Xenopus tropicalis: one gene and its partners. Each later gene encodes a partner of the first gene's protein in a complex. Links are inferred from orthologs where the notes say so. Each region holds a gene or a part of one and is shown on either strand. Other genes may lie near its edges. The genes, in order: kcnd3, kcnip1 and kcnip2.

Region 1 (3,116 bases):
GGGATGATATCCACTTAGCTGGCTATATATTTTATTTAGCAACAACTGACTATATAAATGAGATATTACTTTAAATGTAATATGGGAATATACACTAAAATACCCACAAAGTAAAGTTTTCTAGCTAGGGTACTTTGTACTTAACTATAAGAATGCTTAGCATTATTACCTAACTTACAGGGTTATTTTCACTGAACCACCTTTGTTAATTGGAAACATTTCTGGCTTATCTCTTGGAACAGCAGAAAAATATAAAAACTATAAGAAATAAATGATCAATTATCAATTGTTTTTGTTGAAGCAACTACTGTTAAACCAGCTTTCCCATTCTCCATACATTGGTTTTGATATTCTTCATGATTTTCAGTTACCCTTTTCAAGTTACCCTATAAAGCTCTGAGATCAATATTTATGGTTTCCTTGGAATTTTTTCACGCTGATGTGTTATGTTTATGCTTCTCTATGATTAACCTTTTGCCTTCATACACTGTTTTTAGTACTACTTACACCTGGTATCTCCACAGAACCATGAATTTATGGATGAGCAGATGTTTGAACAGAACTGCAGGGAGAGCTCCATGCAAAACTACCCATCTAGTCGCAGCCCATCCCTATCCAGTAACCATGGGCTCACCACCTCCTGCTGTTCCAGACGCAACAAAAAGACCACCCACCTCCCTAACTCCAATGTGCCGGCAACAAGGTTGCGCAGCATGCAGGAACTCAGCACTATTCACATACAGTGCAGTGACCAACCATCTTTAACAGCTAGGTGAGTGTGCATAAAAAGATATTAGTAAATAGCTGTCAAAGTATTTTACAGAAGATGGAAAGATTACAACAATGTCGCTGTAGTAATATGATGGAGTAAACCTTTTTACAATTGTGACTCCACTGTCGCATTCATAATGTGATATGTAATTTATAAGACATGCTGTAATAAGTGATCACTCCACAGGATAATATGGACTTTGACCTGGATGCAGCATAAATCAAATGGGACACAACTCAGCAAAGCATGCTTGTGCAAACACAAGCGTGTTTGCAATAATATAGTATTTGTAGTATATTCTGTCATTGGGGCATCCTCTTTTATATCATAATTGGAATTATGGTAAAAAAGCTCTGTATTGTAGGGATAAAATACTCTAATTTGCATCAGAAATTGCATTTTGCACATTGCACTTGTGTTGGTAAATGGCCCCCATTATTTCTGGGATCCTTTTACAACCTTTCTACACTTCAAATTTATTGGAGTTCTATTTTCAGGGAAAACACTGTGAGAAAACCTCATCTCTTATATGCAGAATTCTGTTTATGACCCTGTTCTTCTTTTACACCCTCAAAATACCATGCAACAATACCTTGACTATTAGGTCACACCAGATTTGTCTTATTGAAGAAAGATTATTACACAATAAGGAGCTATGTGAATTAATAAAGATGTTTTTTGGCTAGACAACCAACAAGCTGAAGAGAAATTCTTTGGCAGATGGTAGAAAAGAATATAAATATACATTCAGTTCAAAATATTTCCATTACCCAAATCCAAAGTGAACTGTAAAGGATAAATTAAAATATTACGGTATAGTGGCTCTTTAAATCATCCCCTGGGGCAATACATTTTCAGATTTCATGAAGTAGAGGGCCTGTTTCTAGCATTAAACAGATTGAATGGGAAGAGAAACAAAACCAGGAGAATTGAAGCTAATATTGTTAGTGGCGGGTAGTAAGAATATGTATATATTAGGGAGTGTAAGCGCTACTGTGGCAGGAACTATGTGAATGATAATTAACATTCTCCATAAAGTGCTGTATAATATGTTGCTGTTATATGATTTAATCATAGCAGCTAGAATTTTCAACAATTGAATGTTTATAGATGAAAGATTTTGAAAAAGCTATAGAAAAATAGGAATCTTAACTTGCCTTAATGGCAGGAGTTCTAGAGATATACTTAGGATAAGAGCTTGTGCAAGGGTGCTTGTGCCTTGAGAACCCTAGAACAGTGCTGTCCAACTGGTGGCCCCGACCCCCCTCTGTGTGGCCCCCCACCTGTCTGGCTGCTGTAATGGCTTACCTTTGTGTAAGCTTTAAATAGTATCAGTACTGTGATTAACTGGCCCCCTGCATTGTTCACATCTCAGGCTGTAAACCCCCTGTATTTTTTAAAAATGTAATCCCCTGTGTTTTCACACCTTTTAATCTCTACATTGTTCACCCTCTGCATTGTACCTCAGGCTCTGACTGTAAACCCCACATTGTTCACCTGTTCACACCTCGAACAGAATGTAGGAACAGTAGAAACCCACAAATAAACCCTGCACACTATAAAAAGAACCTATACTGAGGTGGTACTGCAATTAAAAAGTTTCTTAATATATAGTTATTATGCAGACTGTAGGAGCAGTGCTAGCATTGTGCCACTGTATGCTGTCTGTGTGTACCATACTCTGCCTGCTCTATGCTGCCTGTGTGTGCCATACACAGGCAAAATAGGGCAGACAGCGTATGGAACACACAGGCAGGATAGGGCAGGCATGGTATGGCACACACAGGCAGCAAAGGGCAGGTAGAGTATGGCACACACAGGCAGCATAGTGCAGGTAGAGTATGGCACACACAAGCAGGGTAGGGCAGACAGAGTATAGTATACACAGGCAGGGTAGGGCAGGCAGAGTATGGCACACACAGGCAGCATAGGGCAGACAGAGTATGGCACACACATGCAGCATAGGGCAGGCAGAGTATGGCACACAGGCAGAATAGGGCAGACAGAGTATGGCACACACAGGCAGGGTAGGGAAGGCAGAGTAAGTCAGGTTTTTGCTGTACTACCACCATTAATATTGGTATGTTCATGTGATAACACGGGTATGGTTTCAAGTGGGTGTGGTTTACTGGCTTCCATTATCTGGCCTCCATCATGTAGGCCAGAAAAAATCCTGCCCTCAGTAGCACAGAAGTTTGACAGCACTGCCCTAAAAGATACAAGGGGTTGCAAAAACACGTTCCTGGTAACATTAAGAGCTAAATTTTAGTTATTAAACCAGACATTCTGCTCTTCTAGTACAGTGGCTACAATTGTTCTCTCTACGCTAGCAATGCAACCCCCC
Region 2 (3,657 bases), on another chromosome or scaffold:
GTCGCCCTCGACAAATCTCAATTGTCGCGGGCGTCTAATCTCCCCGATATGCCATCCCACCGGCGAGAGTGTAAATTGCCAGTGAGGTGGCATACGCGGCGCGGCACAACGATTTGCTGAAATCGTCGAAATTGCCATGAGAGGAAACTTCTGTCATTTTGGTGCCGCATATGCCATCCCACCGGAAATTTACATTCTAGCCAGTGGGATGGCATATTGGGGAGATTTGTCGCGCGGCAACTAATCTCCCCGCCTGCCACGGCCCTAAATGCTACCTACTGATTTGTTGCTATAGGTTACTGCAACTTATTTTTCCAACTTTACAAATAACAGATTTTTACCTACACAAGATAATAGAGGCTTATTTACATCCACAAGCGCAGTGGGCAACTTGCCCTTTTTTTTTATTATGTAGTAGCGCCAAAATGTGCTCCTCTTTATAGTTGCACTAGGCTCTGCTCTGTCCTTTCTGCCTTCTGTTCCTAATCGTGCGGTGCTGTGTCTAATGACACTGCATCCTGCATCAATTTTTGCCATTTTGGCAAACTGCAGGAGGTGCAGAGCAATTGCACCAAGAGAATCGCCTGGGAACTCGCTGCATCGTAAAAAAAAAACATGCCAATTGCACTCAAAATTGCACTTTGCTCACTGCACTTGTGAAAGAAAATGAGCCCTAATGAGTGATTAGAAATGTGATACTAAATTTGCTGAAATTCTTTAAAACTGAACTAATAAAATATGGTTTAAGTGTAAACTTAGGAAAAATATATTGAAATATATTGGAATTTTTTTTTTTCAAAATATGTGCTTTATAATCAGCAATGTTCATAAGTCAAGGTTTTACAGAACTGACCCATTTTTAAAACAGAAGTCGTAACCTAATGCCTATCATATAACGAATAAGAATAAATCATGCTTTGTATTTTTTTTTAAGGAGATTAAAAAAGATTAAAAAGAACCAAACAGTTAAAATATGACATGCTGTCTGTTTTAGACAAAGTAGAAGATGAGTTGGAGATGACAACAGTTTGTTATCGACCAGAAGGACTCGAACAGCTTGAAGCACAGACTAACTTTAACAAAAGGGAATTACAAGTTCTATACAGAGGATTCAAAAATGTAAGTGTGCAAATTAAGTAAATATTATGTACATATTGAAATGTGATTAAGTCTCTCTTCTTTCCCCCAATTCCACCTTTATCTTCTCCTGTCCCCTTCTCTCAACTTTTTTCCTATACTTTCTCCATCTTTCCCCTTCTTTCAAATCCTGTTCTTCTGCTCTCCACTTCTCTTTGCCCTCCCCTATCCCAGTTTCCCCCACATCCCAGCAGAGTGTTTTATTAATGTATTTATTATCTTGTAGTATAGGTTGATATAGGTCGGTTGTTGGTTGTGGGGTAAACTATGAAGTGCAAGTATTTGGCACAGAAAAAGAAACCAATCTAAAATAAAACACTTGGCTCAAATAAATAACTTTGCTCTAGAAACCAATTAACAACATAAGGTACAGGCAGTTGTCTTACCAAGAAACTTCAGATGACTTTGGAAGATGAAGTACCGCATATGCTTTCCCATCATCGATTTATTTTATTGCCGATGGGAAAGCATTATGGGGAAATCTGGGCTACTCTGGGTGACAAATCTCTCCCGATATGCTTTCCCACCGGAAACAATACTTCAATTAGCCAAAACTATAAACCATAAGTGTCCTACCTGTATCACTTCACTTTTTGGGAGCTAGTAGGAAGCAGGTTGGGCATTCCCAGTTAATCATGCACAGCCTTATTTATACATGCTACGGTTCTAAAATGGACACCTCTATATATATTATCTTTCACACTGATACACACAAACATATAATTTTTAAGGGGGATCTTAAACCTCCAACGGATTTAAACATAGTAACCTAGTAATAAGGTTGAAAGGAGACACATGTCTATTGAGTTCAACCTTTTTGTCTAAGTGAAAACCTGCCTAACCGCTAGTTGATCCAGAGGAAAGTGGAAAACCCCATCTGAAGTCTTCAAGGGGGAATCATTCCTTCCTGACCCCAGGATGGCAATCAGACCAGTCCTTGAATCAACTTGGACTAAACACTTTCTTCTATAACCTTGTTTTTCCTCGCTTGCTAAAAAGCCATCCAACCCTTTCTTGAAGCTATATAATGTATCTGCCAATATGACTGATTCAGGGAGAGAATTGCACAACTTCACAGCTCTCACTGTAAAATACCCTTTTTCAAATAATGTGAGGGAACCTTCATTCATCTAATTGGATTGGATGCCCTTGTGTCGTATCTGCTGAAAGGACCTACTTGTAAATTAAACATTTGAGAGATTATTATATGATCCCCTTATATATTTATACATAGTTATCATATCCCCACTTTTTCATAAGTGACTTTTTCTCTAGTATGAACAACCCCAACTTGGCCAGCATGTCTTCATAACAGAGACTTTCCATAAATGTAACCAGCTTAATTGCATTATCCTTTTTGGGACTGTTATGTATTATATCACATGTGGAAGTCCCTGAGAGGGGATGTAACACTAGTGCCTGACCTGCCAGCTGGTACACTGTTGGGGGAGCACCAACTAACTAAAAGTATTTGGGAGGTAGAAGAGGGTAACACCTAAACAAGGGGTTTATGTTAAAAATACTATAGGGCTTATTTACAAACACATGTTCAGTGTGCAAAGTGTAATTTCCGATGCAATTTAATTTTTTAACCTACACTGACATATTTTCCACGATTCCGAAGTAACTGCAAAGTGGCTTATTTGGTAGAAGTAAAGCACATGCTTTTAGGACTATTTAGGTTGCTGTCTCAGGCATGGTATATCATATCACATCCTATTATATCAGATAATTGTGGGATTAAGTCTGATTCGCCCAAATTAACACATTACGCGGAAATCCAGCTAGCATCATTTCTAGTGTTTGCCATGTGAGTGATGCAGAGCGTAACTATATGGAAATGCAAAGAAAGCATTTTGGCATAAGTACCTTTAATGAAAGTGGTTGTGCATGTAACTGACTGCAGGTGAAATGATGGTGACCGCAACTGCACTTGTGGATGTAAATGAGCCCTATAACCCATAAGGTAATATTGCCAGTTAGCCAGTATTGCTTGTCAAATTATTACAGTAGTAAAGTGAGTGGTGTATACTCTGATGTGATATGTTTGCTGTGCTTTGTCTGTAACGGCAATGTGCAAATTGGAACATTTGGAAACTAAGGTTTGAGGTTTGCAAGTATGTTGCAGTCCACATTCATTTGCTCATAAAACCACTTACATTAAAGGTATTTGTGACAAAATGCTCCTCTGCATAGTAAGAATAGGAATGGCTTGCAGTCATTCCTGCCTTCCGTCCCCCTGTGTGCGCCTATTGACTCAGGGGAACCCTGCAGCCACCACCATCTCCTGACCAGGTGGCAGCTCCAGGGTTCTCTCCCCTTCCCATCTGATGCTAACTCAATGCTAGGGGCTTTTATGATAACGAACATGCAAATAATGCAGTAAACCTGAAATTAAAATGTCTACATGTCTATATGTCTGGTAAGAGATTTCTTTTTGCACAGGTATAAAATGGCATTTTAAATTCACTTGGAGATATACATTTACAAAACAAATTGTAGGGACATATTTTGTAACTG
Region 3 (3,657 bases), on another chromosome or scaffold:
AAGAACAAACCAAATTCACCAAAAAAGAACTTCAGGTTCTATATCGAGGCTTTAAAAATGTGAGTATGAGATTAAAACAAGCTGGATCTCTTTATAATATTATAAATATTGCCTTAGCCATTGGGGTGAAGTGAATGTATGGCAACAGGGCTGGTTTCACACTGAAAGGAAAGAGTATTGTCTTTAAAAAGCCAGATATTAAAAGTATGATTAGATAACATCTTTCATCTAGAAATAAAATATTTTTGGCAGTAGCAGTTTTATAAAGATTTACACAAAGATTTATCAGCATGCAGGGACAGGATTTACATTTTATTTCACTTTTGCCAGTACAGGTATGGGATCCGTTATCCGGAAACCCGTTATCCAGACTCCATTTTAATCAAATAATTCAGATTTTTAAAATTGATTTCCTTTTTCTCTGTAATAATAAAACAGTGCCTTGTACTTGATCCCAACTAAGATATAATTAATCCTTATTGGGGGCAGTACAGCCCTATTGGGTTTATTTAATGTTTAGTTAATGTATAGCCTGCTTGGAAATAGGGTATATAAGAATCAGTATCATATATGTAAGACAGAGCCCCCATTCTGGGTTTGACTGGTGCAGGCCTCCTTCTACTCAGCATGGTCGTTGCACATGTGAAGGTGCTAACATGCACGGTGCCCTATAAAGGGGAAGGATAGCTAAAATGGTAATACCTGGAGGGTAAGTGATTTCAGATCAGAGGGCTCTGTCTAAAGGTGGCCATACACGCACCGATATTATCGTACGAAACCTCGTTTCGTACGATAATCGGTGCGTGTATGGTATGTCAGCGAGCCGACCGATGTCGCAGGAAGCTGCTGAAATCGGTCGGCTCGTCGATCGGCCAGGTTAGAAAATTTTGATCGGGCGCCATAGAAGGCGCCTGACCAAAATTCTCCCTTCAGAGCTGAATCGGCAGAAGGAGGTAGAAATCCTATTGTTTCTACCTCCTTACCTGCCGATTCAGCCCTGAATGGTGTGTGGCGGATCTGACGATGTTTCGTGCGACCGATGGTCGTACGAAACATCGTCGGATCGCCACGTGTATGGCCAGCTTTATGTGGCCTAAATGGCATAAAGCTGTTGGCCATGGGAAGCAGCTGAACAGTCCAAAAAACCCTTTCTCTTTGTCACAGGCTTTCATTGCTCAGAAGAGTGAAACCAGATTGCACATCACATTTAAAGCAAACAAAACTTTAGCAGTCTCAGATACTCTCTGTATGAGTGCATTTTACTTTTATTTTTCCAGAACCATTGATCAGATTCTATTAGGTACGATAAACAGCAAGTGGTAAGGGAACTGTCCCTTCCATTATTTTTCATATTATCCTAACACTGCCAGTATAAAGTGGTGATGCCACAGTGGCCTCCCAAACTGATTTTAAAAGAGTATTGAGAACCTAATACTTAGATATGAACAGTGAATTTAGAAAATGTATGTCCGAACCAACATGGCCATACCCTCCATGTATTTCTGAATGCTATATTGACGCATGGTCTATCATTGGTTTTTAAGGATATTACAGTTCTGGGGGGCCTTGGGTAAGTTTCAATCAATACAAGCCTTAATTACATATACAGAGGATAATCTGGTCTCCAGTTTATTAGAAGCCAACATGTGAAATTCTGCCAATTATTCTTAATATAAACTCAGAAGAAAAGATCACCTTGAACAGCTGGTGATTTATCAAGCCGAAACGGAGCTGGAATATCATTTTTGTGCCAGGGGTATACATTCGTGTTGCAATTAACTGCTGAACCTGTTGCCATTTCATAGGTTCATGCTAAAAAAGACAAGGACTATGAATAATTAGATAGTCATCAGGCTAGTTATCAGTTTATGCTTGTTAGAAACTGCAAAAATATAGACTACATAGGGAGTTATGTAATAAAAGTCACTAAGTTTGCCCAGGAGCAGTAACCCCTATCAACCAATCAGCAGGTAGAATTTACTGATCACCTGTTTAAAAGCAAACATTTTACTGGTTGCTGTGGGTTACTGCTACAAACCTAGTGCCTTTTTATCACATATGGGGTAAGAATTTCCAACCTGCTGACCCCACATTGCAAAGCCAATATCCTAACAGCTAAAGATCTTAATTAGGATGTAGGGTGGACGTTGGGTTGTCTACCTTTTTGTCTTCTCTGATATTTTAGTTTCTTCCATGGAAGCACATAACAGTCAAAATCAAGCTGATGACCCTCCCTCCCCAGCCAGAAATGTCCAGCCCTACACCCAGCTCTTGGATACATCTATTTTCAGGAGTTTGGGACATTTCTGGCAGGGTATCTTGGGTTCCCGAAATCCATCCTACTTGAAGTTCTGTGGCTACATAGACCACTTGCCTAAACTTTCACAAAAGTGTGGTGTGTGCAGTTCATCAGGACATGCTAAAGTGGTGCACTGGTGCTAATTGCAAGTTGCAGTGTGTATGGGCACAGGTATCTCTGTGAATCATGTTTAAATGCACGCAATTTTGCACTATTCTATCTAAAAATGAATTCCTGATTGGTTCCTATGTTACCTGCACTGGTATAGACTTGCACCTATGTTAGTAATTAAGCCTAATGATCTGTTACAGTGCCATAAGATATCAACTGTCAAGCATTTTAACATTAAATATCAATATATTCTTCTTTTTATTAACAGGAATGTCCAAGCGGAATTGTTAACGAAGAGAATTTCAAACAGATTTACTCACAGTTTTTCCCACAAGGGGGTGAGATTTAATTTTTTTCAGAAATGTATTTAAAATAATTTTAGTCTGTAACAGGTATAAACAGCTTCTTTTGCAGTATTTTACCTGCACACCCATTCTTCCTTCCCCATAACCTACTGATGAAAAGCAAGTCTTAAGGTCCCCATACACGGGCCGATTGTAGCTGCTGATATCGGTCCCTTGGAACGATTCGGCAGTTAATCAGCCCCGTGTAGGGGCAGGAACGAGGGGCGTGGCCGACCGATATCTGGCCTGAAATTGGCCAGATATCGATCGGCCAGGTTAGAAAATCCAGTCGGATCTGGGACCGCATCGGCTCGTTGATGCGGTCCCCGAACCAACTGCCCCATTGCCGCGTGCAGAATTTGATCGTTTGGCCCCAGGGCCAAATGATCGAATTCACCTGCATGCCTCCCCGATATTGCCACCCGCCAAGCGAGCGGATCTGCCTGTGTATGGCCAGCTTTAGGCATCATTCCACTCCTGCTAACTCTGATTTTTAAATTTTGTCTCTGCTAGTGCAGGGAGCACAATTGCACTCTCTGCACTAGTGATGCAGCCCCCATTGTCCGTCTGTGACGTTCAGAAAAGTAAGCACTGGTTGCAATGAGGGACGGCATCTGAAAGGCCACCTCGGGGTGGCAAGGACCCCAGAAGCCCCCCTGCTTGTGGGTGATTATCACAGGAAATTACTGTACAATAGCAGTCTAGAGCAAGGAAGAGTCTTATTTTATTTATGTTCCTTAATCCTTTCTTTCACTTCTTGTTTTGTCTGACCAACATATGCTTTACCACAAAGGCTTAAATAATTAAATAAATTGCATTCATAGTTTCACAAGTAGCATAAACTCTTTGACAAAATGACAAAACCTTTGGCGACTCAGTGGGCTTCTTAAATCTGCTGAACAC

What was found.
Region 2: the proteins of kcnd3 (region 1) and kcnip1 are in contact, whole or in part, in a crystal structure (PDB 2NZ0), measured with the Homo sapiens proteins. The link is inferred for Xenopus tropicalis from reciprocal best matches to the Homo sapiens genes KCND3 and KCNIP1. Residues at the interface, in NP_001365898.1 of Homo sapiens: Ala6, Ala7, Trp8, Leu9, Pro10, Phe11, Ala12, Arg13, Ala14, Ala15, Ala16, Ile17, Gly18, Trp19, Pro21, Val22, Pro26, Met27, Pro28, Leu29, Ala30, Pro31, Lys34, Lys36, Arg37, Asp39, Trp54; in NP_001030009.1 of Homo sapiens: Leu67, Arg69, Gly70, Phe71, Glu74, Val80, Phe85, Ile88, Tyr89, Phe92, Phe93, Tyr101, Leu105, Phe109, Phe122, Ala125, Leu126, Leu129, Leu130, Leu138, Trp140, Thr141, Leu144, Tyr145, Ile161, Val162, Ile165, Tyr166, Met168, Met169.
Region 3: the proteins of kcnd3 (region 1) and kcnip2 are in contact, whole or in part, in a cryo-EM structure (PDB 7W6S), measured with the Homo sapiens proteins. The link is inferred for Xenopus tropicalis from reciprocal best matches to the Homo sapiens genes KCND3 and KCNIP2. Residues at the interface, in NP_001365898.1 of Homo sapiens: Val5, Ala7, Trp8, Leu9, Phe11, Ala12, Arg13, Ala14, Ala15, Ala16, Ile17, Gly18, Trp19, Met20, Pro21, Val22, Ala23, Asn24, Cys25, Pro26, Met27, Pro28, Leu29, Ala30, Pro31, Asp33, Trp54, Arg60; in NP_775283.1 of Homo sapiens: Arg112, Gly113, Phe114, Asn116, Glu117, Cys118, Val123, Phe128, Ile131, Tyr132, Gln134, Phe135, Phe136, Tyr144, Leu148, Phe152, Phe165, Leu169, Ile172, Leu173, Arg180, Trp183, Ala184, Leu187, Tyr188, Met201, Met205, Ile208, Met211, His228.

What each region holds. Positions count from the first base shown.
Region 1 is NC_030678.2:59,601,250-59,604,365, reverse strand, and holds part of kcnd3 (potassium voltage-gated channel subfamily D member 3 precursor), read left to right. Parts: intron 1-524; coding exon 525-772; intron 773-3,116. UniProt on the Homo sapiens protein: Pore-forming (alpha) subunit of voltage-gated A-type potassium channels that mediates transmembrane potassium transport in excitable membranes, in brain and heart. In cardiomyocytes, may generate the transient outward potassium current I(To).
Region 2 is NC_030679.2:32,041,805-32,045,461, reverse strand, and holds part of kcnip1 (Kv channel-interacting protein 1), read left to right. Parts: intron 1-994; coding exon 995-1,119; intron 1,120-3,657. UniProt on the Homo sapiens protein: Regulatory subunit of Kv4/D (Shal)-type voltage-gated rapidly inactivating A-type potassium channels. Regulates channel density, inactivation kinetics and rate of recovery from inactivation in a calcium-dependent and isoform-specific manner.
Region 3 is NC_030683.2:31,295,197-31,298,853, reverse strand, and holds part of kcnip2 (Kv channel-interacting protein 2), read left to right. Parts: coding exon 1-59; intron 60-2,678; coding exon 2,679-2,748; intron 2,749-3,657. UniProt on the Homo sapiens protein: Regulatory subunit of Kv4/D (Shal)-type voltage-gated rapidly inactivating A-type potassium channels. Modulates channel density, inactivation kinetics and rate of recovery from inactivation in a calcium-dependent and isoform-specific manner.